Linked DNA regions of Canis lupus familiaris. The main gene of each other region encodes a partner of the protein of the gene in region 2 in a complex. Links are inferred from orthologs where the notes say so. Each region holds a gene or a part of one and is shown on either strand. Other genes may lie near its edges.

Region 1 (15,765 bases), on a different chromosome or scaffold from region 2:
CTGTTCTCAGGTGGAGAACCTAAATCGGGAGCTGACCAGCAGGGTGAGGGGGCCGGCAGGTATCTCTGGTGTTCGGGAGCACTCAGGGCCCTTGAGCGAGTGATCGAATTGGACATTTGGAGGACCCTGAGCGGGGTTGACAGGGGCTCTCTGCAGGGGACACTGAATGGCGCTCATGTCCTATCCTGACATGTTGCTCTGAGCCTGGCCATGGCGCTTGGCCTCTTGCCCATGGAGGTCCTCTCTCAGGGTGTGTGGGCAGGGCCCAGCCAGCGAGGCAGAGACACTTTCACAGTGACTGGACCCTGTTATTCGGGGCAGTTTCTCTCATGTGGGCGTGGTTTAGGTTTGTGCACGCTGCCACCAAGACAGCTGTGGCTCATGGAGGCTTCCAGGATGCGGTGGAGTCATCTGTGGCCATAAGATTGGAGTCAGGGGTGCCACAGAGGGTCCGAGACATCTGGGGTGGACTGGGCTTGAATCTGGTCCCTCTTGTACCAGGTCACAGCTCACTGGGAGAAGTTCAAGGCTGCACTGAGCCCAGAGGAGGCAGAGAAGGCCCAGGCCGACTTTGTGAGGTCTGCTGTCAGGGACGTCCGCTATGGGCCTGAGTCCCTCAGCGAGTTCACCCAGTGGCGGGTATGACCTCACCCTGCTATGCTGGGAGTCGGTTCTCCCCACTCCTCAATGGCTTCCATGCCTTCAGCTGCCCTAGAGGTCTCTGGCCCTGAGGGGTGGTGGAAAGTGGGGTGGGTCAGGGAAGGCAGCTTACTCTGGAAGCCAGGGCTCCCTCTGCCCTGGGCATCCAGAGGGGCCGGGGCCCCTAGGTCCATACCCAGCGTCCTGCTCTCTTGGCCCCACGTAGGTGCGGATGATCTCTGAGGAGCTGGTGGCCTCTGGTGGGATCCAGGTGCGGGAGGCAGACGTCCCAGAGAGACCTCCAAAAGCCACAGCTGCCCGGGAGCCCAGGGTAAGCGTGGTCCCATGGCGCCCACAAGGCCTGCCTCGGCCTTTCCTGCCTAAGGAGACTGTAAGGAAAGGGGGAATGGGGTCCTGGAAACAAGCCCAGGAGATGGCCTCTGATGCCTGAGCTCTTTTGCACTGACCCTGGGCCATGTCTTGTTTTCTCCCCCCATGGGAGGGTGCAGCCCAGCCTATAATGCCGAGGACGCAAGCCCTGGGCAGATGGGCCCGTGGTCCCTAGGCCCTCAGGCCAGCCCTGACCTTCCATAGGCCAAGCCCGTGGCCTTGAAACGGCCGGATGACACCCCACTCAGCCTGTCTCCCAACAAGCGGGTGTGTACCTCTTCCTCGTCGGCCCACGTCGAGGGCTCTGATGGCAGCCAGGTAAGCTAGCAAGGGGGCAGGGAGCAAGGCCTGGGGCAGCTGTGACCCCCCACTGCCCCCCTCCCCCACAGCCCACCCTGGAGCCCCTGCACTTTCTACAATGTCACAGCAAGAACAACAGCCCTCGGGACCTGGAGACGCAGCTCTGGGCCTGCGCCTTTGAGCCAGCCTGGGAGGAGGGTATGTCTTTGGTGGGCAGGCAGGGCAGGGCAAGACCACGGGGAAGGAGCAGAACGAGCTATCTAGACTGGGCGCCTGGGAATGCTACCTGCAGGGGTCAGGGGCTCAGTGAATGGGGGACCTGGGAGAGACCGCCTACAAGGTGTTGTAAGGACAGGAAGAAGGAGCTGCAGGGGCAGACTTCACAGAATGTTTTTATTGGGCTGATCTTCAACACAGGGCAGGCGGGGGCCACGTCTCAGACGGTGGCCACGTGTGGCGGGGAGGCCGTGTGTGTGATAGACTGCCAGACAGGCATCGTGCTGCACAAGTACAAGGCGCCTGGCGAGGTGAGTGCTGGGGCCTGGCTCCTGCACAGCCGGGGGCACAGTGCTAAGGTTGGGGGTCCAGACTCGGCCCCTTGGTGACGCCCGTGCCCCCTGCCCCCATAGGAGTTCTTTTCAGTGGCCTGGACAGCCCTGACTGTGGTCACGCAGGCAGGCCACAAGAAGCGCTGGAGTGTGTTGGCGGCTGCAGGCCTTCGGGGCCTGGTTCGGCTGCTGCACGTGCGAGCTGGCTTCTGCTGTGGGGTCATCCGGGCCCACAAGAAGGCCATTGCCACCCTCTGCTTCAGCCCCACCCACGAGACCCATCTCTTCAGTAAGACCCTCTCCCGCACACCTGAGACATTCCCAACACCCTGTCCTGCAGCCTGACACCTCAGTATGCCCTCCCTGGGATGCCAGGGAGGTCCTGGGGCTGGTGGCCTTCACACCAGGCCACCAAGGTCCACTCTGGCCATGGTAGAAGCAGCATGGCATTGGAGACAACAGATCAGGCTTCAGATCCTGGCCCCCTTACCCACCCCACCAAGTGTGGTAAGCCCGAGAAGGGGTATGTGAGCAGAGACCTGCAAAAAGATGGCTGCCTGGCATGGGGCGTGGTGAGGTAGGGATGGGTGGCCTATGAGTCTTGGGTCTCCCAGCTGTGGCCCTGCCCTCCTTGGAAGGGCCAGCCTTGCGACCACGGTCTCAGCCTAGGTGGGAGTAGGGCCTCTTCAGAGCCCCTTCCCATCCCCTCCTCAGCCGCCTCCTATGACAAGCGGATCATCCTCTGGGACCTCGGGGTGCCCAACCACGATTACGAATTCCAGGCCAGGTGAGGCCGTGGGGCAGGGCAGGGGGGCTGCTAGGGCAGACACCTGGGTCCGTGGCCGCATCCTCTCCTCCCCTGCCGACAGCCAGCTGCTCACACTTGATACCGCATCCATCCCCCTGCGCCTCTGCCCTGTGGCTTCCTGTCCGGACACCTACTTGCTGGCTGGCTGTGAGGGTGGCTGCTGCTGCTGGGACGTGCGGCTGGACCAGCCGCAGAAGAGGAGGTGAGGCCTCAAAAGCCAAGTCTGGGTGCTAAGCAGCAGCTAGTCCAGATGTCTGACCCCAAGCACATCTGCCATGGGTGATGCCCAAGCCATGCCCTATTCTAGGCAGCCAAAGGCCATTTTCAGGGGCCTCTTCAAGAGGCTGGCCTGTCCCCATCTCCTCTAGTCTCATGCCCTGTTCCTCCCTCTAGTGCTTGCTTGGCTGTGGGACTGGGCTGGGTCGGTTCTCCCAGCTGTGGTCACCTCACCTGGGCGGTGGGGAGGTAGTGCCTGGGCAGACACGAAGCCTGGAAAGGTTTATCTGTACCACTAGAAGGTGGGAGACCATGCTCGGCATGGCATCCCTGCCCTCGTGGGGCCCACAGCCTTCTGGCAGAGGTAGGTGTTTAAAAAAGGTGGCCCATTAAAACCCCACGAATTGTAACGTCAAGTATGAAGGAAAGAGTTGAGAGAACTGTGAGGTGAGGTGGGTCCTCAGGCTCGCCTTCTCCACGTGAGCCTAGCAAGGGAGTTGGGGCAGCAGAGAGCAAGAAGGTGCAGGCCTAGGGTGGCGGCCTGTGCAAGGGGCGGGAGAGTGGGCTGACCAGGGAGGTTCAGCCCAGCCTGGGAAGTGGAGAGGACAGGATGAGGTGGCAGGGTTGCTTGGAGCAGGGGACACTGGCTCTGGTAAGACTGAATTTTGTCCTCAGTGCCGTGAGTAGTCTGGGAAGAACTTCGGGTGGGGCGCGGGTGGGGGGGGAGGTAACGGCAGTGAAGCAGCTGCTCTGTGGAGCCAAGTAACAGAAGCATTGGGCCAGCTGGTGGCTTTTGCCCAGGCAAGTGCCTGTGCCGGCCCATACCCCACCTGAGAGTGAAGCCCCGTGCCCCGTCCCCAGGTCTGTCTGGTCTCCAAGCCTTGGGGAGGAGTCCAAGCCTCAGCTGTGCCTGCTTCTCCTCCTCTAGGTACTTGGCCAGCTTTTGTGGCTCTGGGCGGCATCTCTAGGACTGTGGGCCACTGCTGGGTGGCCTTTCCAGACACAACATGACCCCACACACTTCTCCATGTGGGGACGTGCAGCAGCCACTTGCCCAGCATGCACGAGGCAACTGACCACCTCGTCTTCTGCCCTGCAGGGTGTGTGAGGTGGAGTTTGTGTTTTCCGAGGGTGCGGAGGCAGCCGGGCGGAGAGTGGATGGGCTGGCATTTGTGAATGAGGATGTCGTGGGTGAGTAAGCCCCACCCTAGGGGGGGGAACAGCCTGGCCTCCCGGGAGCCCAGGTAGGCCCTGGTAAGGCCTCTGTGGGCTACTGCTCCCTGGGCTGGGTTTTAGGACCAGGGGCTCCCGAGTGGTCCCTACTGTGCACCAGGAAACATCTAGGGGGGCCCCCCACCCAGTTCTCTGTTCTCCCTCCCACAGCCTCCAAGGGGAACAGCCTGGGTACCATCTGCCTGTGGAGCTGGAGCCAGACCTGGATGGGCCGAGGCAAGCAGTCCACTCTGGCAGTGGTGGTCTTGGCTCGGCTGCAGTGGTCCCCCACCAAGCTGGCCTACTTCTCACTGAGCACCTGTCCCGGTGAGCCCACGCACCTCCCCCCCAATCCCGCCCCCCACCCCTGGGAGCCCCACCCCACCTTTGACCTCTGTCCATGTGTCCTAGCAGATGAGGGGATAGTGCTGTGTGGAGATGAAGAGGGCAACGTGTGGGTTTACGACGTCAGGCACATCCTGACCCAGCCGCCTCCACGGCCAGCAGCTCCGCAGGCCCCCACACAGGTAGGTGCCACCTGCCTGCCCTCTCCCACTGCTGGGGACCGTGTGTGGAACGCCAGAACCCAGCTCTCCTTTCTTCTTGCCACCCCAGATTCTTAAGTGGCCCCAACCCTGGGCGCTCGGCCAGATGGTGACCAAGACCATGGTGAACACGGTGGTGGCCAACCCCACCTTTACCTACCTCACCGCCCTGACGGACTCCAATATCGTGGCCATCTGGAAGAGACAGTAGCCAGAGTGGGGTTCCTGCCTCTGCGGCAGAGCACCAGGGACATGACTTAACTTATTCAGCTTTGGGGCTAAGGACGAGAATCTTTTCATCAGTGAATATATTTTATTAATAAACTCTCTGCTGTCTGAGGGAAGGCTGGAGAGCTGTTTGTGGCTCCCCTGGTGTTCCTACCTTGAGCTCTGAACAGACTCCTAAAGCATGCCTCTCAGGCCACCCCTGCCCTCCCAGGCTCCAGGTTGTCGGTCTAGGAGTCGGGGGCCCAGGGCCTGTCCGCTGTGAAACTGAGCAGGTCCACTGCTTCCCATAGCCAGGTCTTTATTAGGAAGGTAAAACACTCCGTGTACAGGACACACCAACTCTGGGGGGAGGAGCTCAACAAGATGTCCCTGAAGCCAGGGAAGCTGCTCGCCTCTACTGGAAGCCCGGAGAAGGTTCCAGTGCAGGGTAGGAACCAGCCAAACAAGACTCCTCCAGCCCACTATTCGATGCCTTCTTGCTTGTCTTTAATAGCCACCTGAGCGGAGAGGGAGGGGGCAGCTGCTTAGTGGGAAAGCAGCCCCAGTGACCCGAGGTCTGCCCGGGCCCTGCTGTCCTGTCAGCAACCCCAGGGCCTTCTGAGCACACCCCACCCATCTGCCTGAGAAGCTGTGGATCTTTCCCACTTGACACCCAAGTCAGACTTTAAGGCCCTCTGCGTGGACAGGTGGGACCATCCCCTTTCGGCCTCAACTGTGGGACCCCACCCTGCCTGGGATGAGCTGCCCCATGTACAGATAGATACCTGGAAGCAGCCAGGCCTTAACCAGAGAAGGCTTGGGGGAGCAGTCCCAAGGAGACCCTGGAGCACTCAGTACAGTTCCCACCCATGCCTGCAGATAGCAGGCCCCCGACCTCAACTCTGTTAAAACCCCTTAGTCCAAGCTCGTTCAAGGCTGTAGTGGCACTGCTGCTCAGTCACCACGTGCCCCCACCCCACAATAAATCCGGAAACTACCCAGGGGTTGTCGGTGTGGGCATCAGAACAGCTCTGGCCATACTGGCTAGCATGCAAACACCCCTCGCCGCCCGGCTCCTCACCCGGAATCGCTCTTCCAGCAGGGACAGCTCGCTGATGAGGTCTGTGATGGCGTTGGTGAAGGCCTCCTGGGGGCTGTAGTCTGGTGTGGTCTGCACTCGAATGATGATCTTGTGCTCCAGGGGGTGGGGGACTTTGTAGCCAGCAAACAGCACCTGGGGGTCCTTCAGCAGCTGTCTGAGATCAGGAAATGGGCAGTGTGACATGGGGGCTGGGCCTAGCACCTGGGACCACCAGGCCTCTAACCAAGGAGCCTTCCCACTGGCTTGAGGCCTAGAAGCGAGGGGGGTGGGGCAGGGAGGAGATGGCTGACTCCAGCTGCTTTCCTGCTCTTGATTTCCCAAAGATATCTCCAAGTAAAACATCTGGAACATCTGCCTCATGAGGACACCTCCCTCCTCCCCCCACCCCTACATCCATGAGGATCCAGGACCCCAGCTGGTAAAGAGGATTTCCAGCAAACTTCCCTCAGGGGAAGTCGGGGGCCTGCAACAGCACCAAAGAGCCCTCCCCAGGCAGCCAGTGCTCAGTAACCAGAACACAATGTGCTGGTTCTGGCCCAGTAAGAGCGTCTGGCACAGCAGGAAAGGCTCAGGCTCTGAGTGCTTAGTGAAACGGAAGCCCTTTGGTCAACGCTGCTGCCCACACACCTGGGACCCGTTGTGCCTGGCTGTGAGGTGAAGTGTGCATGCCATGCTCTGCCCTGGGCCCGCGGGGGATTCTCTGGAGCAGCTCAGTCAGCAGCAGGCACCAAGAGGGAAGGCTCTTGCACAGGTGGGGACATGCCTCCCAGAGTAGGGGAGCAGAAGGGCCTGGGAGCAGCACCGGCATGGCTCAGGGTGGGGCCAGCCAGACTGGAGAGAGCCAGCCCCACCTCCTACTTTCAGCCCAGAGGTGAGGTGGGCTCCTGCCCAGTGGTCTCAAACACATGACCCTCGGAAAGACCTAGATTCACCCATGGTGCTTTTCTGACAAAAGCCCTTGAGCCCAAACAGCAACCACATCACTGACCACTTACCTGGCCAGGACCTCGCTAATGTACTTACACACCTGCTAACCAACATGAGCATCGGATAATCACAGAGCCTCTCCCCCACCTTCTCCCCTCATTCTAATAAGTTCCAATCTCTGGCAAGTCGGCCTAGGTTTCTCTGGCTTTGCCACACGTTCACTTCCTTTCATCGGATAAATGAACCAGTACAGAAATACAGCTGTGGGAACAGATCCAGGGCAGCAGCATTTTGGGGAAAACGTACTGAAACGTGTGAATTGCCAGAACAAGCACCCAGACCTTCCGGCAGCTCAGAGAGACTTCGGGAAATCTGGGACGTGTGCTTTGCCTCAAAGAGCCCCATTAAACGTTGCCTGAGAGCCTCTGACTCGGAACTTACGATTTGATGATGTTTCCTAGTGTGTGGTCTTCTTTGTTGATGGTAAACAAACAGGCATTGGGTACCTTGGTGTCCTTGTTAATGGTAATCCTAGGAAGAGGTGGTAGCAACAGATGGGAAACGGGGCTCTCCTCCTCCCCCCAGGATAAATCCTGCCCTTTAACTCAGGCTTAAGCCCCACTTCCACCTCGAAGCCTTCCTCCATCTCTTCATCCATAAAGACCTCTGACTCAGAGCAGCAGAGTGGCTATGCCCCGATTCTGCGGGACCCTCACCTACTCTGGATTGCTCCTTGGCACCAGTGACATCTTAGGGTGGATCATTCTTTCCCGCAGGGGGTGGTCTTGTACATTGCAGGATATGAGCAGTATCCCTGGTCTCTATTCACTAGCTGCCAGCAGCAGCCCCTATGTGACGAAAGTGTCTGCAGACGTTGCCAAAAGTCCCCTGGGGAGCAAAATAGCCCCTAGTTGCCAACCACTGCTCCCAAGGGAGACGAAGTGGCTGGCAAGGGCTAGACATAGAGCCCCGCACACCAGGCTGTTAAGAGAAGGAAAAGCCGACGTTTAAGACAGTCTTTTGTGTGCTGAGCCTTGGCCTAAGCACTTCCCGTAAATCATCTCAAGCTCCCCTTTGAGAAAATCCTGTGATTTAACAGAGCAAGAAGCCCATTTTCCAGATGAGGAAAGCAGGCCTCAGGCAGGCTAAGCCACCTGCCCAAAGACACGGAGACGTTAAGTGGGGGAGCCAGGAGCCAAGCCCAGGCTGAGAGACAGCAAGACTACACCGCCTGCACCCCGCGGGCAAGAAGCCGCTGGAGGTTCTCCGGAGGCCAGCGAAGGCGGGACGAGAGCCTGAGAGCCGGACCCCGCTGCAGCCGCAGGAGGCGGCGGCCAGGCACGCGAGCGAGGGGGCTGCCGGATCCCGGGGGGAAGCACTCTGGCGCCACGCACACCGCCACTCCCCGAGGGCCGGGGCAGCTCCTTGGCTCTCTGAGCTTCAGTTTCCGCATCTGCGGAAGGGGGTCGGTCGCCACCGCCCGGCAGGGCTGGCTCGAATCTGGCGGACACAGAGGCTTCCGTCTCCCGCTACTGGACGGACCCCAGGCTCGCCCCCGCCAGCTCCACTTACTTCTTTTCGCCCTCGAAGAGCAAGAACGACTCAAAGGCGGGAGGGGCGTTCATCCTAGCGCCGCACTCGCAGCCGAAGCCGCAGGGCCGCCCCCGACGCCTGCAGGACCCTCTACGACGCCACCTCTTCCGGGTTAGCGGCTGCTTCCGGGTTACGGCCCCCGTGGGGAGGCCGGCCGCTCGCCCCCTGGAGGCCCGGGGGATGTAGCGCAGGCGAGAGGAGCCCGGGAGGACCGAGGCGCTGGTGGCTCTGCGCATGCGTGAGGCGTTGGCGGGGGCGTTGGCGGCCCCGGGGGCCGCCCCCCCCCTCAAGATCCTTCTTTGCAAATGCGCTTGGAGGGCCCAGCGCGAGGCCCTCGAGTGGAGAATGGAGCCAGGGCGCAGTGCGGGCCGGCAGGAGGCGTCAGGTCCTAGGACCAGAAGGCCGCCGGCCGCGACCCCCACCTTCCCCCGCGTGGTCGCCCCTTTGCGGAGCGGGCTTGGGGCCGATGAGCTGCTTGCCAGGCAGACGGCCCGGCGGCGGAGGCGGTTGGCGGCCGAGAGGAGTGCGTTGGCACTGCTGGTTGCTATTTTGCCGACCGCAGTTGTGTGGACGGACCCCACCTGCGCTGTTTGAGGCAAGGAGCTGGGTCTCCCGTCGGCTCCAGTAGCCGCAGCATCTGAGGAGCCGCCGGGGACCTGCCCGGGAAACCAGGAGCCTCCATTTCCTGGGAAGGGCTATTCCTTGCTTAAGCTTGGGCCCTGGGGTGAGGAGGTGCCATTGGCCAGAGGCCCACACCAGCCTGGACTCCACGGGGGGGGCTTTAACTGGTGAGGAACAGAAGGCATGAGGGGATGATGCACAGGGGCGTAGCCGCGACCCTTCTGGGCCATCCGGGCAAAGCTAGGATGCCACTTGGCTGGCTGGGGGTGGAGAGAAGGGGTATAGTTTTTACCCCAAAGGGGCCTCACTCCCGCCTGACAGAACCTAGAGGTGTGGGGGTACATGAGCCGTGGGGACAGTGCCAGGCCCTGCTTCACTGTCACCCCTACAGGCTGCAGCAGCCACCCCATCCAGGACCCTCCTGGAAGAGAGGGTGGGCGGTGACACCACTGGGGGGCTATGTATGCAGTTCAAACCCAGGCTTCTACCTGTGGCAGCCCCATAAGTAGTGCACACTACTTTCCCCTTCACTCTCATTAGGGTGCAGTGGACCCTGGGCTCTGTACTTCCGGACCACAAGGTCCTGGAAACCCACCGAGATTCAAAAAGCATGAGGATTTGTGTGAGGTCCTAAGGAAGGAGCCAGAGAACAGGGTGTTGGTGATGGCGGAGGGGGGGTGCAGGCTCAGCCACCTGGGGGCAGGAAGGAAAGGTGAGGCACTGTTCAGGCTCTGTAGCCTGGGGGGGGATGGAGCAGGGGTCCCAGGAGTATGGTGGGAACAGCAGTTGGGGGAAGAAACAAGTCCTCCCAGGATGTGTGGGGGGGTGAACAGAGGGGATGCACGAAGGTTATTCTGGTGGCTCCGGTCCTTGGCCACACTCAAGAAGCCACTGGAATCCACACCAAGCCCAGTCCCTCTACTGACCCCCATCACAAGACCCCAGAGCCCAAGCAGTCACAGCAGGTTTATTGTCAGCAACAGCACCGCAAAGCTCTCCCGGGGGGGCCCAGCCAGTGGCTGGAGGGGAGCAGGTGATGTGATGGCCAGGAGCTGAGGGGATGCTGAGGTCAAGGCTTGGTCTCCTGGGTGGGCCCCATGTTCCCTCCCACCTCTGTGAGTCCAAGGAGTATCAGTCCACCTGGTCAAGGGCCATCTTAGGGTTGGTTTCTGGCTAGGTCTGCCGGGGTAGGAGAGGGCCCCTGGAGAGAGTGGGGTGGTGCCAGCGATGGCTGCAAGGGCTGCGAGGAACAGCCAGGCTTCATAGAGGAGAAGGAGCTCACAAAGTCCCCTAGAGACTACAGGTGGGCAAGGACGGGCCTCTGGCCCCCAATCCACCCAGCCCAGGAGAGCCCTAAGCCCCGCTCCCCAGTGAGACGGAGTGATGTGAAGAGCTGAAAGCGCACCAGGGGGGGGGTCTCCGAGCACCTGGCAGGGGGTTCAGTGAGGGCATGTGGGGCAGGCCTCACGTCTGCAGCTCCAGCAGGCGGTTTGTCTCCGAGGGCGGTACGCTGGCTGGGCTGGATCTGTGGGCCTCCCGGAGGTCCTGCAGCACCTGGAACAGCTGGGCCAGTGGATCCTTGGGGGCTGGAGGCAGATGCCAGATGAGGGCAGAGCAGGCAGGGCCTCACCCACCAGCACCAGTCTGGGCCCCACCCACAGCACCCCTGAGTGGAACTTAGGCCAGTGTGGGAGTCCAGCTAGGAGGACCTACCTTCCCCTGAGCCCCTAAGTGCAGAGCCTGCCTCTGTGCCTGCTGCACTCAGCTCCCGCTGCTTCTCCCTGTAGGGGAGGACCGAATGAGAGCTCGTGGTGCCCTTGCCAGGAAGGCTGGGTGACCCATTGCAGGCCTCCCGAGCTGGAGAGGATCCCAGGAGTGGGGGGCTGACACTTTCTGTGGGGAAGAAAAACAGGGGCCCAGGCCTTGGTCCTCTGGCCCCCTAGCACCTTCCCTCTCCAGCCCCCACTGGTCCTCCCCACCTCCAGCGGTGGGTCGATGGAAGGCACTCTGGAACGTCACTTCTGTTTTGGAGGGCCCTGGGGAAAGGGGCCAGTTGGGGCCTGAAAATCCCCCATATTAACTGGCCGTGGAGGGAGTCTCTTTCTTATAGGAAGAGGAGACGGTGACAACTTAAGCACGAGTCCTAAGCGGGGTTCACCAGAGATCCCTGGTCCTCAGGCACAGTCCCAGGAGCTCACATGGAGGAAGAGTGAGCAGCCATGTGGACCTCATGCCTGAAGTTCCTTGCTTAGGGACTGCACTGGCTTGGCCCTTCTGAGTCTCCCACGGTTTGTTTTGGAGGAGATGTGTCCCTCTGCTAAGATCTAACAGGCTCCTCCTCCTCAAATGCCTTCTAGGCCCCGTGGGGTCGGCCTGGTCCCTTAACCGCTCTGCTCATTTGCTTATTCAACACAAACTGCAAGAGAATACATCAGTGTTGTTCCCAACACAAGTGTGCAGTGATCAGTTACGACGGGGAGTAAGGACAGACCCCTGAGTCGGAATCAGAGGTGCCAATGGGGCAGGAGGTCTGGCGGTGTGGAATGGAAAGGGTGGTTCTAGAGGTGGGGAGGCTCTCAAGGCAGGGTGCTACGGTGAGGCCCATGGGCACCGGTCCCGTGCTGGGGCCCACCTAAACCCAAGGTGGCTCAGGTTCGAGTTTTTGCTCTGCCGCTTCCTGGCTTAAATGGAGGACAACTGTGGGTCCCAGGAACAGAGAAGACAGGGTGGTGGCTTCATCCCGTAGGTGGAGGATGAAGTCACCAAGCAAGGGGGCCACACTATCAAAAAAGGAGGTGGCTGCAGAATGACCTGAAAGCTACCGGAAACTGTGGCTCACAGGGGAATGAGTGGTTCCAGTTTGACCCCATGAGCTTTGAAGGGTTTTGAGAAAGATTAAACCCTGGAAAAGTCGATGAGGAACACGGACAACCACCACCACCCGTCCTGGGCCCTGCCGGGACCAGGGTTGGGCTAGAAAACTGCCCCCTTCCAGCAGGCTCAGGGAAACAGCGCTCTTAGGAAGCAGTGGGTTGCCTGGAGATATCCCCATGCTGGACTCCACTTCCAGAAACTCTGAGTTGGTGTGGTAGGGCCCAGGCATTCTGATCATTTCTGAGCTAGAGCCAGGGTTGAGGACAAGCTCTGTGGTCCAAGGGCACAACGGGAAGGCCGGACGGGCTGGGAGGCTGGGTGGGCCCGGGCAGGACAGAGGGAGAGCTTACAGAGGCCCATGTGCCCCTCCGCGGGTGTAGCTGTCCCAGGCAGGCAGGGCAGGGGCCGGCCTGATGTGCAGTGGAAAGAGCGACCACAAGGACCAGTCCTGAGCCCTCACCCTGGCCCTGGCCCTGTCCCTCACCCCGGTCCTCGCTGGCCACATTCCCTGGGGCTCTATAGGCCTCCTCACCTCAGCATAGCCTCCACACCCAGCAGGTGCCGGTAGATGAGCTGGGCCTCCAGGTCATGATCCAGAGGGTCATTCCACTCCTGTAGGGTCACACGTGACCGAGTCTTGTCACAGCCCAGATCTGGGGGCACAGAGAGGGCAGAGTCATGGGCAGGCCCTGGGAGAGCTTACATCCAACCTGGTGATAGTGCAGGTGGGGACACAAGAGGCTAAAGGGGAACAAGAACGGCCTCAGGGGCCCCAGGAGGGCAGCAGCTCATCCCTCTCGGGTCTACTCCTGAGCCCAGGGCCAAGGATACATGACTGCAGAGCACGGAAGCCACACAAGACACAAGTCAGGGGGCTGGACAACTTTCTGGATGTTTGGTTGCCTGGAAGGAAGAAGGGAGTGGCATGGGGATGGAAGCTGAGGGGTTTGTGCCCTGGAAGGAGCTGGCCCTGTCACTCGTTGGTTTTACAACCTTGGCAGAGGCATCAGCCCATTTAGCCTCAGTTTCCTCCTCCATAAAATGGGCTACCAGGCCCTATGCCTCCTAGCGCCATGGGGAGCCCCCCTCCCCAGTGACAGGATTTATCACCACCAAGGTCAGAGCAGGGGCTGCAAGTCAGGCCAACCAACCAGTGATGCCCGTGTAAAGAGCTGCCACTGCCCCCTCCCAGACCCAGGGGTGGTCTGGAGCAGGCGGGGCAGCTTCCCAGGGCCTCCCCGAGCCAGGCTCCAGGGGCTGAGGCTGGGCCCTGCCCAGAGGCCACAGGCTCCAGGGGCTGAGTCTCTTCTGTGAATGGGGAACAATAATTTTGTAAAGCAGACCGAGGTTAAGGGAAGGAAGATCTTAACAGTTCCAGAACTCAGCTGTCCCATAGGGTAGCCACCTAGCCACAGGAGGCCATTTGATTTTAAATTAATTAAAACTACATAAAATTAAAACAAACTTAAAATTCAGTTCCTGGGCCACACTGGCCATGGTTCAAGCCTAACCACACATGTTCGTGACAAGCACAAGTGCAGTACTGGGCAGTACGGATACATACCACTGCCGCTATCACGGAAAGTTCTAGCAGAAGCTCATATGGGCCATCCCTCTGGTGCCTGGAGTCCCCCCACCCGCAGCTTCGGTATCAGGCTGCCAGGTGTGCACTGGCAAACTCAGGAGCCCTCATGTGCCCTCCTTAGCAAGGAGTTCCTGAAGTGTGTTCTTGGAACACTGGTTTTGCCAGAACCTCCCTCACTGGGCAAGAAAGGGTTCCCCTAACTCCCCGTGAGTTCCGAGTGCTGGATTACATGGCATCAGAGACGGTATTCCAACTCATTTTCAGGCCTCTGCAGGGTCTTCAACGTGCCCATGTGTGTCACACACACCACACACCATCTCCCAAACTACCCTGTCACAGAACCCTTCCCACCCGGAGCACCCGCAGGGACTAGCCGGCCCCCGATTAGTCCCCGCAGGTGCACAGGTGGCTCCCCAGCCAGGCCAACAAGCCAGGGCTCAAAGGCCCCAGTCCCAGCTAGGACCCTGGAGCCAGTTGTGGACAGATGCAGTGTCAGGGGGTACAGGCCTCCTCTCTCACCTGACTTGTCCTTCTGGTGGCAGCAGCTCCACTTGTCCCCGCGGAAGATGCCGGGGTGGTAGGAGCCCAGCAGGCCAGGGTTGCTGATGCTCATCTTCCGTAGCGCAGACAGCCACTGGTTCAGCTCGTTCACACACTGCATGGAATGCCGGGAGGGTAGGTGGGAGGGTTGAGGCCACCCCCTCCAGGAAGCCCTCCCTCCCTTCCTGGAGCTCCCAGGCACATGGGCCGATGAACAGAGTGGGCCTACTTCAGCCATCCCCTGGGCAGTGTATGACCTGCTAACCAGATGTGGTGGCCTCACTGTCACCATTTTCCCCTGTGGCTCTGGACAGTCACTCTCAGGGACAAGCCAGACCCCCTCTGACTCCAGCCTTCCTTCTTACTCCCTGTATCCTTCCCCTAGACGTTCTCTCCTTCACAATGTCCCAGCTCAAAGGCCACCTGTCAGAGGCCCTCTTGCTCGCCCTTCGGGGAGAGTAGCATGCCCCTAAACACTAAACACTACTAAACACGACTGTGTCCCTTCCCTCTCCCCTTGTGTCCTCCAAGGCACTGTCACCATGTGACATTTTACATATTCACTTAGCATCCGTCTCCTGAGGGACAAGCTCCATAAAGGCAAGGCTTTGTCCTCTGACGCTGTATCCCACCCCCAAGAACAGCGCCGGGAGCCTTGCAGGGGCGCCACAAACAAGTCTTAGATGAATGAATGAGTTAATACCTAAAGAGAAGAATTTGAGAGCATGTACTCAAAGCCACATGCTTGTGTAAACAGGTGATTAATATGCGTTGACGCGCACCACAAACACATAGGCACCAACACAGATACTCAGAAATCCAGTTTCCCACAAACGTACAATGTGCAAAGCTTGGAATCACAGGAACGTACATATCCGTACACTGGACTACACAGAGACCTACATGTGGGCGTCTAGACGGGCCCAGGGAACACCATGGGCACAGGTCCCCAGAGCCCAGGACACACACACACACACTGTGCACTCACATCAGATCTCACACTCTGCTGGGCCTGACTCACTCCCACACCAGGCGGCTAGTCTCACAGCACCCCTCCCCTTGAGTGTCCTCCATATGGTCCCCACCTTGCACTGCAGGTAGATGGTCTGGGGCTTGCCTGCGTCATCCTCGTAGATGACCTGCATGACGTGTGAGCTGCCAAAGCTCTTCTCCTCCACCTTCTCTGCTGCCCGGATATTGGCTAGCTTGATGAGGGCACTTTTCTGGAGTGGGCCAGAACAAGGAGACTCAGGGTCCGAGCTAGAACCACTCCACGCCCTAGTCCTGGGCCTTAGTCTCCGCATCTGCAGCACCAGGGGCTGGCACAGGGGACCCAGCTCTGTGAGTGACCTCAGCCAGACAGATAGTGACCAAATGCCTGGCCTCTCGAGGGTTCCCAGTGGTCCTGGGAGATCTGAGCTTCGGAAAAGTGTCTGGACTCCCAGCAGTCCTCAGGCCTGGAAAGTAGCACCCGCCGGACCAGGCCCTGTGCCTCTTCCCTTATGAATAATTTTCTCACCTACCTTTACCTTCCCCACCTCCCGGCCCCTCCCCACTCCTGCCATCATCTGATACGGTGAGATACAAATGGGACAGGGAGAAGCCCTGTGTCTGACAGATTCATGTCCCCGAGAAGCCCCCAACCTGAGGAAACTGAA
Region 2 (15,181 bases):
AGTGCTCACCCCCGCCCCGCCCCGGCCAGACATTCCACAGACCCATTTCCGACACCCCCTTCACCCCTGATTTATGAGTGTTGTGGCAGCCAGAGCCGAACCCAGGGCGGGCCACCGAGTCCCCCACCCCACCTGCTTTCTCGAAAGAGGTGCAGGGGGCGGGGGCACGAGGACCCGCCAGTGGGACCTCTCCCCACTCAGGGTGCCAGGGCTCAGGGATCCCCACGTCGTGCACCAGGTAGAGTGGTTAAGGGGGAGAGACGGGCCAGCAGGTGGCCGGGCTGATGGGGAACCCTCCATCACAGCCGCCACCTGGAGGATTAAGACATCATGCCCCTGTCTCCGGGCCTGGCTGAGCCACCGTCAAAACAGGAAAAGGGAGAGGCCCCGGGGACAGCCAAGAACTGGGACAGGAACGGAGGAAGCTCACCCTGCAGGGACGCCTGTCTCTAGAAGGCCAAGCTGAGGTCCCTGGGACCTCAGCCCCATCCCCACGTTAGGGTGGGAGGGGAGGTTAAGCCCACCAGGTCTGAGAGGCAGCAGCAGTTTCCAGTGATTTCCATACCCGGCCCCATGAGCCCTGGGAAACGAGGCCACCCCTCACCTGTGAAAGGGGGCTAATCAGAGTCCTTCCCACGCGAGGTTCTGAGGACAGATGGTGCATTTAGGGTTTAACACGCTGCCTGACGGTGAGGAGCTTTCGAGAATAAGCCCTCCTTTGAGGCAAAGGAAGCTCGATTGACTTGGGTACGTTTAAAGAGGTGCTGGGTCCCATGTAGGTCGGGGGGAGGAAACATAGGTGGGACCCTGCAGCCCCGGGGGCAAAACCCTGCAAGTGCGCTCACCCACGTCTGGGGGTGTGTGTGGTGCGGGCGCGTGTGCCATGCACCCCTACTCCACGCTGTGGGCAGGGGTGCAAACCGGCAGCCCTTGAGCATTCGCTCCGGAAGCCGCCAATCAGCCCCGCTGCCCCTGGACAAATCTGGCGCCAGGAACTCCTCCCACGCAGGTGAGCAGAGGCACAAGCTCAGGACCGCTGCTCGCTTTACATCAGCAGAGACAGGGAGCGACGGGAACTCCACTGTGACGGAGGCTTCGGTCATTCTGGTGTGGTGGCTACTGCGGTGCTTGCGGAGACCAGCTTCAGACAGAAAGTCATCGGTCCAGAGTCACCGGGATTGAACAGTAGCCAGGATTGGAAGCCACATCCTGCTGAACCCCAGGGCCTTGCTCCTAACCACCGCGGCACGTGGCTCCGGCCTGCGTGGGGAGGCCAGGGGCAACACTGCCTTCCTGCGGCCCCAAGAGGCCTGGCAGAACGCTGGGGAGGGAGGCTGGACAGACCTGGGACATTCCTAGGAATTAGCCTGACATCTCCGGCATCCCTGCTCGGTGGCCCAGGGCCCGCGGAACAGGGTGGGGAGGTTGTCCGCCTCGTGTGCAGCCTCGGGCAGGACGGAAGCGCCGCAGCCTGCCCCCCAGCCAGATCCCTCAGTACAGGGGTTCAAAAGTAGCGCCAGCTGCCAAATTCCATTTCCAGCAATGAAACTGTCCATGAACTCAAAGAGCCTTCCCACGGCAGCGCGCCAGCAATACGAGATAAAAATAAATGCCTAACGAAGTCGCTGGAAATAAGGGAAGCCCTAGAAACATCGCTGGAAAGCTGAAAAATAGGGCCCAGGTGCTGACACTGGCAACAAAAGGGTTCAGCCACTAGGACAGAGCCCACCCGCTGAGAACCACCTAATCTGGGCCTGGTGAGGGGCTCCTGGGACACCGGGGTGGGGGGGAAGCTGAGGCCAAATGCACCTGGAAGATTTGCCTGTAAAGCCGACTGTCCCCAGGAGGCCCCCCCAGAACCCCTGCGCCAGGTCCCCATCCCAAGTTGTAAAACACAAGAATCAATCATGGAGAGGAGTCAGGAGGCCCGCAAGCGTCAGGAACCAGGTGCCTGGCAGAGACCGTGGTAAGACCAGACGCTTAAAATGTGAAAGAAGGGGTCAAACCACAAGCAGATCTGCTCTGAAGAGGAAGCAGAGATGAGCCGAATGGAGAGCCGGGCCTGGGAGCCGAGCACTTCATGGGTTGGGGGGGGGGGGGGGGGGGGGGGGGGTGGGCACAGCTGAAGGCAGAACCGGAAGCCAGCTGGAGGGACGGCCGCCCACGCAGACACGCAGAGAGCACCATGGGCTGAGGACTAAGGAGCCAGCTCCAAGGGGCAGGGGAAGGTTCCCGGAGGGAGGGACCTGGGAGACCAGAGGACGGCCCGGGGTGATCCCGCACTGACAAGGGGGCTCTGGGACTCAGGGAGCAGGTGACAGACAATGCGAGCACCCAGGAGGTTCTGGCGACGGAGCCTGTTTATTGGGCAGGTGGGTGGGCGCCGCCCGTCACTCCTTGAGGGAGAAGTGCATCTTGTCGCTGATCATCTTGCGCTCGGGGTTGAGCCGCTTGAGGATCTGCGCGAGCACGTTCACGGTCTGCTCGCTGCTCAGCCCCGTCTTCTTGGTCTGGAACTTCTTCAGCAGGTCCTTGGTGGTCATGGGCTTCCGCGTCAGGTAGCGGCGCACCGCGTCCTCCGTCACCTGCACGTCTCTGTGGGGCCAAGCAGAGGGCGGCGTGGGCGGGCGTCCGCAGGCGGCCTCCCCACACCCCCGCCCCGCCCCTGCCATTCCCCCGCAACGTACCCGCTGCTGGGGGTCGACTTCCCCGACTGGGGCTGAGGGGTTGACTTCCCCGACAGGCTCTGGGGCCCCGGGTCCAGCCGCAGACGCTTGGCCACCGGCGTCTCATTGGTCCGCTTGCCTGGGGGAGCGGGAACAGGGCTGAGTCCTGTGCTCGAAGTGGGGGAGCCCAGGCGGAGGGGTGCCAGGATCCCAGTGCAGGGGGCCCAGGGGGCACACAGGCCTTGGCTCCCGAAGCAGAATGCGGGCCAAGGGTGGGAGAAGAGGAGGCAGCGAGGCTGGGTCCCGCTCACCCTGCTCCAGCTTGTTGGCGGCGGCCCGCAGGGTGGAGGACGTGCTGCCACTCTCCGCGCTCGGGCTGCCCGGCCGGCTGTTGCCCCGAGAGCTGCCTCCCGACGGCCTCCGCTCCCGCTTGGGGGGTGTCTTCTTCTTCTGTGGAGATGGGGTCCGGGACATGAGTCTACAGATAGCCCGTCGCCTGCCCCCTCCCGCCCCCGGGCCGGGCCATACCGCCATGAAGAGGGCCGAGGACGCCTCGCTGTCAATGTCGCTCTCCTCCGAGCTGTCCGACTCGTCGCTGCTGTCTGCTGGGGGCCAGAGGAGAGGTGTGGCTGCCGGGGTGCCCACCCGTGCCAGCCCCGCCTCGGGTAAGGGGCTAGGGGGTGGGGGGTGGGCTGGGATGCAGGGAGGGGACCCACCTTTCCTACGCTTCTTTTCCTGGGGCGTGGGCGCCTTCTTCTCCTCCTCCTCCTCCTTGTCCTCCTCGGGTGGCTTCTCCTCCTCGCTCTCCTCGCTGCTCTCGCTCTGCTCGTCTACGCCCTTGGGGCCCTCCTCCTGCTGGACGACCTTGGGCTTGCCCTCCAGCTCCTCCTGCGAGCTGCTAGAAGACAGAACGAGAGGGTGAGGGCCGGCCTGGGCCATCCTGGCCCCAACCCCTCGGCCGCCTCCTGCCTGCCTTACCTCGAGCCGTCCGACATGTAGTCCACCTCCTGGCCCTCGAAATCCCCATCGTCGCTGTCCTCGAAGGCCTCATCATCGGAGCCCTTCTTCTTTTTCTTCTTCTTGGTCCCCTTGGTGGGTGGTGCCTTCTTCTTGGCCTTGGGGGCTCTGCCCCCTGCGGAAGCAGAGGCGGGCTCAGGCTGGCGCTCATCCTATTTGGTGTATCCGAGGAGGTCCGCCTCGGCAGAAGCCCCCGAGGACCCACGTCTCCCAAGCAAACCCGACCAATGCAAGTCTACACCCCTGACTCCCTCTCTCCGGTTCTCACACTCAGGAACGCCACCTCCTTCCCTGCATCCCCCAGGACCGGGTACCGACAATCAGAAACCAGCCTGTGGCCAGAATTATTTGAATTGGCCAACCTGAAGCTGTTGCACCCTCTGCCCCTCCGCATTGCACATCCCGTGGGAGCCCCAATAAAGGCCACAGCTGAGACCTTCCTGTAGCTTTCTGCCTCCTACCAACTCAGGTGCTTGCCCAGTGGCCTGTGTAGCCTGCTGAGCCCTGCTCTCATTCCCAGGGGGCTGTGACTAAGCTTCAGTGGCACTAACCTCCCTGGGCCATCACTCAGACACCTTGACAAAGTACGACGCAAGCACAGATCACCAGGCTGTGCGGATCACCCAGTCACCCCGGGGGCTCCACCGGCCTCACCTTCCTCACCACTGGCCTCGCTGTCGTCAGACGACATCTCCAGGTCATCCTCCAGGTCGTGGATGCGCAGCTCACTGGCTTTCTTTCGGCTGCGCTTCTCCTTTTCCTCGTCTTCCTCCTCCTGATCCTGATCCTTGAGCCGTCGCTGCTGCATGATGCTGAAGTGGTTCAGGACTTTGTTTCTCCTGTGGGCAGGGGAATGGGATGCAGTGGGAGGTGACAAGGGGCCTAACTCCAGAAACCGGGCCTCCTAACTGCATCTACACCAGGCACTCCCCCAAAGGGGAACCATAGACACAACTTTGGTGATATGAGGGATGATCACAACCCTGGCAAGTAACACCCTGAAATTACATGCAGAGAGCTGAATTTCTTTGACTCCTTTCAGTCCTATGTCCCTCAAGGAGAAGCTCTCAGTGGTTTGGTATCCCAGCATCTCTCAAGCTCAAGGCCTTTCCCAGGCAACAACAGAATTTGGCCACAATGTATTTACATCCATGTGTTTTTATGGTAGTTTATGGGTGCCTTTGTTTTTATGACAAATAATACTGCTGTTTCCATTTACCGTGATGGTAAAAGTTTTTAAAGTTTTTAAAAATATGACTATCTAAAGAGAGTCTTAGGATTGTATCTAATAGCACAAGCAAAGTTCATCAGTGGCATGGGAAGGAGTAAAGCTCTTTGATACAAGAATGTGAGTGGACTTAACACTACTGATTAGTACACTTAGAGTTGACAAATTTTATTGTGTGTTTTTTAGTTATTTTTAATTATTTTTAATTAAAACATGGAATGAGGATCCCTGGGTGGCGCAGTGGTTTGGCGCCTGCCTTTGGCCCAGGGCGCGATCCTGGAGACCCGGGATCGAATCCCACATCGGGCTCCCGGTGCATGGAGCCTGCTTCTCCCTCTGCCTGTCTCTGCCTCTCTCTCTCTCTTTCTCTCTCTCTCTGTGACTATCATAAATAAATTAAAAAAAAAAATTAAAAAGAAAATTTAAAACATGGAATGAAATACTGATATATGCTACAACACAGATGAACCTTGAAGACCTGCTGAATGACATGCCAGTCACAAAAGGACCAATACTGCATGATCCCACTCGTATGAGGTCCCTTGAAGGGTCAACTCAGAGAAGGAAAGTGGAATGGTGGAAGCCAGGGTTGGAGAAAGGGGGCAAAGAATAACTTTCATGAGGACAGAGTTTCAGTTTGGGAAGATATGAAAGTTCTGGAGATGAATGGTGGTGAAGGTCGTACAACAATGTGAATGTACTTAATGCCACTGAACTGGATACTTAGAAAGGATGAAATGGCAAGCTTTTACATTACATACATTTTGCCTGTAGTTGATCCAGCCATAGCCCTCCTGCCTGGGGGATGCCAAGTGGGCCAGGGAGAGGCCCCTGCTCTGCCGATTCCTGCTCCATGACTCAGCTCACCTACCCCTCCCCAGCTCTCTCAGGGCCCTGTAGTCCCTGATGCTTGTGTCTGTCTCCCCCACTGAACTGGGAGCTCCCCCACGGCCTGGTGGAGTCTGGTTTGGTTACCACTGAGTACCCAGCTCCCTGCCAGGCAGAAAGCTATGATGATACACCCCACTTCCAAGTGTTTCAGCCCCCTTCTGGGAAGCTGGGAGAGGGCAGTGTCTCCCTTCAGAGGGTCCTGCCTCCCTCCAGGCCTGCCTGGGCTCACTCACCTCTCCCACTCCTCCTCGGCCTCTTCAGCAGTGAGTGTGCGATGTCGGGCCAGCGGCGTGAAGTTATACCAGTTGTGCACCGGGAAGGCCTCAAAGGCCCCGTCAGGGCACTGAGTGAAGATGTAGTAGGACGTGTTCTCTGTCACGCCTCCCTTCTTTATGCCCTTGAACCTGCAAAGAATCATGGTCACAGCCTGGCCCTCAGGACCAGCCCTCTGCCTGCCTGTGCCCCCTGGCCTGCCCCCTCTCCAGAACTATCTGGGTTCTCTGAGCAAAATCCAGGGGCACCTGGGTGGCTCAGTTGGCTAAGTGTCTGACTTTAGCTCAGGTCATGATGTCGGAGTCCTGGGATCCAACCCTAAGTCATTGGGCTCTGCCCTCAGCAGGGAGTCTGCTTGTCCTTCTCCCTCTGCCCCTCCCCCACACATGCTCTCTCTCAAATAAATAAAATCTTTAAAAAAAAAAAAAAAATCAAAAGTCAGGAGACCCTGGGCTGGCCCTTCAACTGTGTGAGCCTCAATTTCCATATCCGGAAAGCAGGGCCAGCACTCCCCACCCCTCTGCTCTGATCATTCTGAGAGCCCACTCAGGGCTCACTTCATTGTGTAAGTATCGTGGTCCTTTCCGAAAGGACCACGGTACATCAGCTGTGAAGCAAGGGCCCTGCAGTCAGACCCCCGCGGATTTGCCTCCAGGTTCCTCCTGCTAGCCTCCTCCTGACCTCTCCCCTCACCCTTCTCTGCCCTAAAAGTCTGGATAATCTTACAGAATGCTCTTTCCTGCCTACAACCTTCAAGGCTCCCCTGGGCCCTGGCCCCCCACAGTCCAGCTGCATCCTGGCATCCACTGTCTGGCACTACCCACCTGCCTTCTGTCACTGTCATGCCTGTGACAGTCCCTAGCGGTCTGCGGGCCATCTCATGCTTCTGTGCATGTGGTTCTGCCTGCCTGGAGTGCCCTCCATCCACCTGACTTCCCAATTCTCACAACCCCCAGTCTCTAGGTGGCCCCTTGCAGTGTGTGATCAGGGCAGGCTCTCAGGCTTCCCAAACCCTGGCCCCTAGAGCTCCCGTGTGAGCAGCAGCTTGGATCTTCAGAAATAAAACCCCATGAGAGACATGGAGGTTGCGACTGGACACCCAGTGGAGTTAGGACAGGAGGAGGATACGGGAGGCACTCACCGCTGCCACTACTTACTTTCTGCCCGATTTGCCATTGACGCGGAGCAGCCAGGGCTGGTCCTCTGGCCGGAACTCCTTGAGGACGATGCCATACTTCTTCCTCCGAGCCTCCTCACGAAGCTTGCGGTTGAACTCGCTGCCCGCACCAGACTCAGGCATCTCCTCCTCTTGGTAAATCTTCTTGTTGCTCAGGTCTCGCTCCAGCCGGGCCTGGGGCAACGGGGCAGGGTTGGGCAGGAAACAGACACTTTCAGCAGGGTGCCCGCCATTGCTCAAGCTATGCCTGCCCCCCCAAGGAACACCCTTGACCCCCGACCCAGGCTGAGCTGCAGACCTTCAGAGCCAACCTCCTGAACAAAAAAGGGACAGGACACTGCCTTTCTGTGCATCTGGGGGAAGGGTTGGGGGTAAGCTTTGTACTAGCTCTATTTTGCAGCCTTTCAGAGTTTGAAATTACTTCTAAATCAATAAAGAAAAAAATAGATCATTTTGGTGACAGGACAAAAGCAAAAACCATGAAAACAACCTGCTTGGAACTGGTCACTCCTCCTCTCTCTCTCTGCATTTAGACACCATTAAAGGCTGTTTTCCAATTCGGATCTCCAGGCAATTCAGCAGCAGTTAAGATATTTTAAGATGCACACAGTTCTTACCCTAGAGCTTCCTCCTCCAGACAGTGGAGGTGAAGTGCCATACACACACGTGCCCCCCCCCCCCCCCCCACACACACACACACACAGGGCTGTTTACTGCGCCACTGTCTGTTGCAGCAAAAGACTGGAAATGAACCTAATACACAGCAGCAGGGGACTGGCTTAATACAGGGGGCCGCCTCCACATAATGGAAGACCAAACACAGGCAAAAGTATGTAACAACTGCCAAAACATATTAACTGAAAAAGGCCAGATGACTGAGGTCACTCCCCATTATCAAGAGATTTCTGATGGCTGGGAACAAAAAGATCCTCCAAGCATCCGGAAGTGGGGGGAAAAGCAAAGTTTTATTGGCATGCACATGCCCAACCATTTACAGATTGCAATGCCTTTACTTGTGTAGAGGCGGGGTCGGAGGGCTGCTCCGGACACTGGCCAACAGGGCCAAGCATAATAATTAGCTGGTCTTTGAAGAAATAGTCTGCTGACCCCTGGTACAAAAGACAAGAATGAGAATGGTGGAAACCAAAAGCTAGAGTCCAACAGAAGAAACCTTCGAAATAGGAGAGAAAGTGGCTACCAAGCTAGCCTGGGCTCCCTGGTCATGCTCCCCAGCCTGAGGCTAGAAGAAAGGCACCCCCGGGATGGGAGAAATCAGTGTACTTCCCACAGCTCCTCTTCAGGGAGCCAGCCCAGGGGGTACCTCATTACAAAAGGGGAGTAAACAGGCCTGATTCCCTGAGGGTGGGCACCCCAAAGGGCAGGGCCCCTGCCTGGCTTGTTCACCATTAGCCTGGGGGGTGCTCTCCAGGGACAGCTGCTGGAAAGAACGCATTTGGAAGGGGTTTCTGCCCACACGTTGTTCATGGGTGAGGAGCAGCTACTGGGGGAAGCGATGTCTCTTGTGGTTATAAGTGCTTAGGTGCTAGACCTGCCCCCTCCTTGGGGTAATGAGTGACAACCCAGCAGGTTCATCTCTTCCCCAGAGAATGCAATCCCCTCCTAAGTGTGCCACTTAGGCAAGGAGAATTCTGGGGGCTGTATCTCTCTGTGACTAGGTTATAGAGGGCATGACCTCTGGGTGGTAAAAACAAGGAGTGATGTCCCCCCCATGATGATCAGGGAACAGGGTGTCACCCTCAAGTTACTAGTGGCTGGGAGGTCACACATCTCAAAAGGTGATAACTACTCAGGTGCTGCATGTCAAGGTGATGGGTGACGAGGGGCAGGTTCCTCTGGTTTCTTGTGGATGAGGGAAAAGGGGCTCTCCCACTCAATGAGGGATGGCGGTAGTATGTTAGTATGTTCCCAAGGTATTTACCAAGTTATTCCTCTTAGTGAGGGGTGTTTAAAGCTGGGACCCCCTGATGTGTGGGTATCTCCCTCTTGGATGATCAGTGATAAAGAATGCCCCACCCCACCCCCACCCCCAGAGTGATCAGGGATTTGGAAACACTCCACCTTCTCTGGGTAATTTAGGTGAGACCAGAGGTTGGGGGAGCATGTTAGTTTGTATATGAATGTGCATACGGCTGGAGATGCTGGGGGGCAGGCAGCCTACAAGGGAAGAGGGTGCCCTGAGCAAGCATCCACCTGCCCAATATCCAGAGGGACTAACGTCTCTTTCAAATAGCCTCACTTGCTCAACTAGATGAAGGGATGTTTAAAAACAGTCAAAAGACAGACCGGTGCTGAAAACAGGATGAGCAGCAGGAGCTGCCTGAAGCTGCCAACTTTAGACCTGGGCCAACTCCTGTGCTGGGCTGGTCCAGTCTCTGTGGCTTCAAATGCTGCCCCCAATGCCCAGATGCTCCCTCCCAGTCTCCCAACTCAGATGCTCCACTGCTTATTTACTGTCTCCTCCTGGGTGTCTGATATAAGATGTTGAGAACTGAACTCCCAATACTCTGTCCATCCGGCCCTGTCACCCGTCAACATCCAATCATTAACAAATCATGTTGGCTCCACTTTAAAACACACTAGAATCCACTGACTTCTCACAACCGCTGTTTGCTCCATGCCCAGTCGTCACTCACCTGGACCACCGCCGACGCCTCCACCCTGCAACACCCTTTGTCTGCCCCTGATCCTATAGCACCCAGATCAGTTTATAACTCCCCTGTTTAGAACCCTTTAAAGGTTTCTGCTATAGACTGAATGTTTGTGTTTTTTTTTTTTTTTTTTTTTTTTTTTTTTTTTTTAAATTTTTTTTTTATTTATTTATGATAGGCACACAGTGAGAGAGAGAGAGGCAGAGACACAGGCAGAGGGAGAAGCAGGCTCCATGCACCGGGAGCCCGATGTGGGATTCGATCCCGGGTCTCCAGGATCGCGCCCTGGGCCAAAGGCAGGCGCCAAACCGCTGCGCCACCCAGGGATCCCTGAATGTTTGTGTTTTATCCCAAAATGCATATGATGAAACCTAACTCCCGGTGTGATGGTATGGGGAGGTGGGGCCTTGAGAAGGGGATTAGGTCCGAAGGGTGGAGTCCTGGTGAATGAGATGAGTGCCCTCTTAAGAGCTCTCTCACCCCCTCTGCCACGTGAGGACACAGTAAAAAGACAGACATCTACGAACCAGGAGGCAGGCCTTCACCAGACCAAACATCTGCTGGCGCCTTGCTCTCAGACCTCCTAGCCTTCAGAACCGTGAGAAATAAATATGTGTTGTTTAAAAGCCACCCGGTCTGCGGTATTCTGCTGTAGCAGCACCCATGGACAGAGCTTCCAAAAACCATCTGCAGGCTGCAGCCCCCTCGGCCTTGCCCAGATGACTCTAGGCTGGAAATGCCCGTCAGGGGGCACAACTTCTAAATGCCATCCTTTCATGAGGCCTCCTGTGGGGCCTGCCCAATCTTCCTCACAGGGATCCCTAGCAGCTCAGCCTGGGCCTCAGTACATCGTCTTATCCCCACTCGGGGAGCGGGGTCGAAGCCAAGCCTTAGTTTTACCACTGTAACTAAGCGCCTATTGCAGGATCAGGTTCTTACGCTCACTCCCAACGGGGACTTACCTGATTCCAGGTAGCAAAGTTGACTTTGTCAGCAGCATTGAAGGCCATGATGTTGTATTTTTTCGTTGTGTTTCTGGGGTGGGCAAAAAGAGGGCTGCTCTCAGTTCACCGTTCATTTAACAAACCCTCCCTTGGCTCAGCAACGCTGGGGACCCACAGAAGCCCTCAGGGGTTCCCGGTCTCTCCCGACCCCTCTGCTGAAGAAGAGCAGGAGGGGAGGCATAAAGGTCGGGGGACGGGGGGTGCCCAAGGTGTGGGAATAATGGAGACCTCTGTCCTGGGGGCGGGGGCGGGGGAGGGCAGGCAGGGCATGTTTCCCAGAGGAGGAAGATCGTGGGGCTGGGTTTTATAGGACCGACAGGAGTCACAACGCCAGGGAAAAGGCCTTCCTGCCGAGAGAAGGCTAGGCCAGGGGGCTGCATCCGACGTACCGCCCACTAATGGGCTCATTCATTCATTCCGTTGCAAACACGGGATGCACCTCGCTCAACCCCAGCCCTGGGCCCAGGTCCCTGCTCCTCGGGAGGCGGCATCACCGGCGGCGCCAGGCTGGCCTGGGAGCTCAGGAAGCGGGGAGAGGGCTGCGGGACTTACTTGGGAACTCGGACGACATACTCGGTGACGTTCTGGCTGCTGGGGCCCTGCGGGCAGAGAAGGAGGGGCGGTGGGTGAGTGGGGGGCTGCAGAGGCGGCGCGCCGCGACCCCCGAGCTCCCCCGTGTACTCACGAGGGCCGCCATGGTGACGGTCGGGGGTTCGGGTCCGCTGCGGCCCGCGCCCCTCAGTCCCGGGGAAGCCGCCCGCGCGCCGTCGGGTCTCTGGCCCGGATCGAGGGGGCCGCTACCCAGAAGTCGGTCTTCTCGGGGAACCGCTCCGGCCGCGTCTGCGCCTGCGCCTAACCTGGACGTGACACTCGGGCCGCGGCGCGACGGCAACCTCCTCCGCGTCACCTAGCTCCCCGAGTCCCGCGGAGCGGACGGCCCAGACCGACCCCGACGCGGAAGACACCCCGGCTGCGGCGGAAGCCGCGTCGCGCCTCTCTATAAAGCGCGACTGATTTAATCAGCCTGTGGCCACGCCTCCTCGTGACATCACATCCGGGGGCCGCGGGGCGTCCTGGGAGAGGAGGGAGGAACCTAGCCTCCCTCGCGAGCTCTCGGGCGCCTCGCGCATGCGCCACTGCACTCCGGAAGTGAGTCGGAGGAGGCCGCGTCACCATAGCGACCGGGGCCTCTTAGTCCGCGCCGAGCTGTTGGGGCGCCGCCAGCTGCGCCCCTTTGGGTTCATTTCCTCCTTCTGCCCCGGGGAGACCTCATCGTCTCGCCAAGTGATCGGGCCCTTGTGACGTAGAGCCGAGCCAGGAGGAGGAGTCAGGGCCCGGGTGGGGATGGGGCGCGACCACCCCAGGGCCGCTGGTGGGATGGGTCTGTGCAAGTCCAAGCTGCCCGAGGTGGGCAGGCCCCTGCGACCCCAGGAGAAGGGTAACGTCGCAGGGGCGGCTGGCTCACGGGGCGGGGGGGAGGAAGGAGGCCGTGAAGGGCACGAGGGAGGTGCAGGTACCCCACACCCCAGGCCGGTGTGCACACGCCCCGCCCCCCACCCACCGAGCTGCACGTGCTCGAGGATCAGCCGCGCTTTGATCCGCTTGGGCACCTGCTGCGCGGGGTTCTGGGCACTCCACGGCGAGTATGTCACACTAGCTGTCCGGCCTCCAGGAGATGACAGTGTAGACAGGGAAGGAGACAGTCTCAGAAAAATGGGATCGGCGAGCAGGAGGGAGCAGGGCTGCCACGGGGAGAGAGGAGCCGGCTCTGCGGCCCCCAGGAGAGGGGAGGTTTAAAGTTTACGTTGGGCCCTGTGGGATGCCTGGGAATTCACTAAGCCAAGCGGGAGGGAAGCAAGACACGGAAATTGCATTATCGACTACTGCGCTGCCTTAGAGACGCCTGGTAGCCACGCACCTTCGTTTGCTCATCACCCGCTACCGCACGTCAGGGACCGTGGCAACTGGTAGAAACCCGGGGACCAGCAAGACAGAACTGGTCCTTGCCCTCCCGGAGCACAGAGTGTGGCTGGGGAGACGGACAAGAACAAGGAAACAGGCAAAATCCTAGCTGACCGTGGCTGCTGCAGTGGAGGAAATGTGGCCCTGGGACGGGATGATGCGGGGGGAGGTCGGGAGGGGAAGCCTGATGGGCGGGCGGGTGGGCTGTGTCCTGAAGGCGGCGGAGCAGGGACTTGGCGTGCAGGGGGAGCAGCGGGAGAGGGATGAGTTTGGCAAGTTCAAGGGACAGAAGAGGCCAGGGGGGCTGGACCAGAGGGAAGGAGGAGGAGGGCGTTGTGGGATGGCCCAGAGGGGGCGCAAGTCTGAGCCTGTTTCCTCAGCTGTCAAACGGGACAATCGAGTCATTGAGGTTTTCAAGGAGATGCTGTGTGCAGAGGGCATGGCCTGCTCGCAGTCTGCATCCTCTTCGCAGCCCCCCAAACCCGCCCCTGTAGCAGCGCTAACCCGTGCCCTGTGTGGATATACCACTGGGCATGGATGCACACCCCCAGATGCCACCCTAGGGCAAAAATGGGTAATGCCAGGAGACCCGTGTCCCGCGTCACTCACCCGAGGACACACACTAGGCTGTGGACACAGACACATCGGTGCGTGCTGGCCCCTGCAGGCACCAAACCCTCTCCCCACCTCTTCCCTGGGCCCCCACAGACATCCTCAAGTCTCCCCTGATCATCTTCGTGATGGGCGGCCCAGGTTGTGGCAAAGGGACACAGTGCAAGAACATGGCGACCAAATACGGCTTCCGCCACGTGGGGCTGGGCCAGCTGCTGCGGCAGGAGGCCCGACGCAGCACCCAGCGGGGCCGGAAGATCTATGACATCATGCTGCAGGGGCTCCTGGTGCCCACGGTGAGAGCTCACAGGCACCGGGGCAGGGGGAAGAAGGGGGTACGTCAGGATGGGCTTCCCTGGAAGCAGAGAGGCCCAGAAGGCCGCCACTCCCACTGCTTTGCTGCCCTGAGCCTCCGTGTCCCCACCTGTCAAAGTGGAAGAGCAGCTGGACTCCCAGCAGGAGTCCGTAGTGAGGGTTGGCTGACCTCATTGCCATAAAGCATGTGGCAAAGTGCCTGCAACTTAACGAGTGCTCCGTAAAGTCAGTAGTTATTACCCTCGTGACCTTGGGCATATGTCACTGGCCCCTTCTGTACCTGTTTCCTCCCCTGTAAAAGGAAGGTCCCCCCCCGTACCTACCTGTAGGACGGTAGCGATGAGTAAATGAGACCTCGCAAGCCTGGCACACAGTAGTCGCTCTGCCCGGTAGACCGGCTCGGCGCAGCAGAGCAGCCTCGGCATCCTGGGCGCTGGGCAGGGCAGGTGCTCCCCTGGACTCACCTGAAGTCCAGACCCAGGAAGCGCACTTGACAAGGTAGCCATGTAGGTGAGGGACCCCCGGGGCACCAAACCCGCCACCCCTTTCCTTCCCAGGGCATCATCCTAGACCTGATCAGCAGCACCATGCTGTCTCACCCAGAGAGCCGAGGCTTCCTCATTGACGGCTTCCCACGGGGGCTGAAGCAGGCCAAGGAGTTTGAGCGCCTTGTGAGTGACCCCAGGGTGTGCAAGCGTGCGGTGAGGCGTGAAGCCGCTCCCCCCCTCCCTGCCTTGAATGGAGATCAGAAGGAGTGAGACTTGGGGGAGAGGAGATGGCAAGGGGGGAAATGGGGTTTTATATTTTCAAGGGACAGTCGGGAGGGAGATGGTTGGAAGCTTCTAGAACCTGGGTAGGTAGCTGGGGAGCTGGCTGGGACAAAGTCCTATTAATATCTTCCTGCACATCAATTATTTGCCCACTGAAGAGCACGTGGGGTTAGTATCATCTCTGGGCCATTGACATGGAGTCTAGTTATCCGTTCATTTATTTATTCAACCACCTGTCCCCAGATCTTTCGAGAACAGGCTCTGTCCTTAGGATTCATGAGACCGACTCAGTCCCTGCTCTTAGGATGCCAGGCGCTGACCTATACGTGACTCGCTGGACAAAACAGACATTTCAGGTCGCGGTGAATGCAGTAAGGAGGAGACAGAACGACATCCTGGAGGGACACAAGTGGGCTGTTCGGGGTGCGGGCCCAGGTGGCCTCCCCGAAGCCAGGACATTGGACAGTTGAGCTGTGCCAAGGAGGAGCCAGCTGCGTTTCTTCAGGTTCCTTCTGCATGCCAGTAGCGCTGACTTCGTGAAAAGGCCCATCCGCCCCCTTGAGCAGCCATAAGACTGGAACGTCTGGAAATGGCCAA

The links.
Region 1: GTF2F1 (region 2) and POLR2J share a complex: the UniProt entries of both Homo sapiens proteins name them as parts of the TBP-based Pol II pre-initiation complex. The link is inferred for Canis lupus familiaris from reciprocal best matches to the Homo sapiens genes GTF2F1 and POLR2J.

Annotation. Positions count from the first base shown.
Region 1 is NC_049227.1:7,615,746-7,631,510, reverse strand, and holds POLR2J (DNA-directed RNA polymerase II subunit RPB11-a), read right to left. Parts: upstream 8,625-15,765; 5' UTR 8,520-8,624; coding exon 8,467-8,519; intron 7,426-8,466; coding exon 7,336-7,425; intron 6,122-7,335; coding exon 5,947-6,121; intron 5,384-5,946; coding exon 5,348-5,383; 3' UTR 5,168-5,347; downstream 1-5,167. Other genes in the region: LRWD1 (leucine-rich repeat and WD repeat-containing protein 1), read left to right, coding at 1-43, 502-639, 866-970, 1,234-1,347, 1,419-1,527, 1,747-1,856, 1,959-2,166, 2,592-2,664 and 5 more; RASA4B (ras GTPase-activating protein 4B), read right to left, coding at 10,406-10,694, 12,515-12,635, 14,087-14,222, 15,193-15,330. UniProt on the Homo sapiens protein: Core component of RNA polymerase II (Pol II), a DNA-dependent RNA polymerase which synthesizes mRNA precursors and many functional non-coding RNAs using the four ribonucleoside triphosphates as substrates.
Region 2 is NC_049241.1:54,166,620-54,181,800, reverse strand, and holds GTF2F1 (general transcription factor IIF subunit 1), read right to left. Parts: upstream 12,086-15,181; 5' UTR 11,623-12,085; coding exon 11,611-11,622; intron 11,525-11,610; coding exon 11,478-11,524; intron 10,957-11,477; coding exon 10,884-10,956; intron 7,427-10,883; coding exon 7,233-7,426; intron 6,207-7,232; coding exon 6,036-6,206; intron 4,523-6,035; coding exon 4,338-4,522; intron 3,799-4,337; coding exon 3,645-3,798; intron 3,565-3,644; coding exon 3,383-3,564; intron 3,272-3,382; coding exon 3,195-3,271; intron 3,117-3,194; coding exon 2,978-3,116; intron 2,806-2,977; coding exon 2,688-2,805; intron 2,596-2,687; coding exon 2,391-2,595; 3' UTR 2,343-2,390; downstream 1-2,342. Other genes in the region: adenylate kinase isoenzyme 1-like, read left to right, coding at 12,270-12,363, 13,596-13,795, 14,372-14,515. UniProt on the Homo sapiens protein: TFIIF is a general transcription initiation factor that binds to RNA polymerase II and helps to recruit it to the initiation complex in collaboration with TFIIB. It promotes transcription elongation.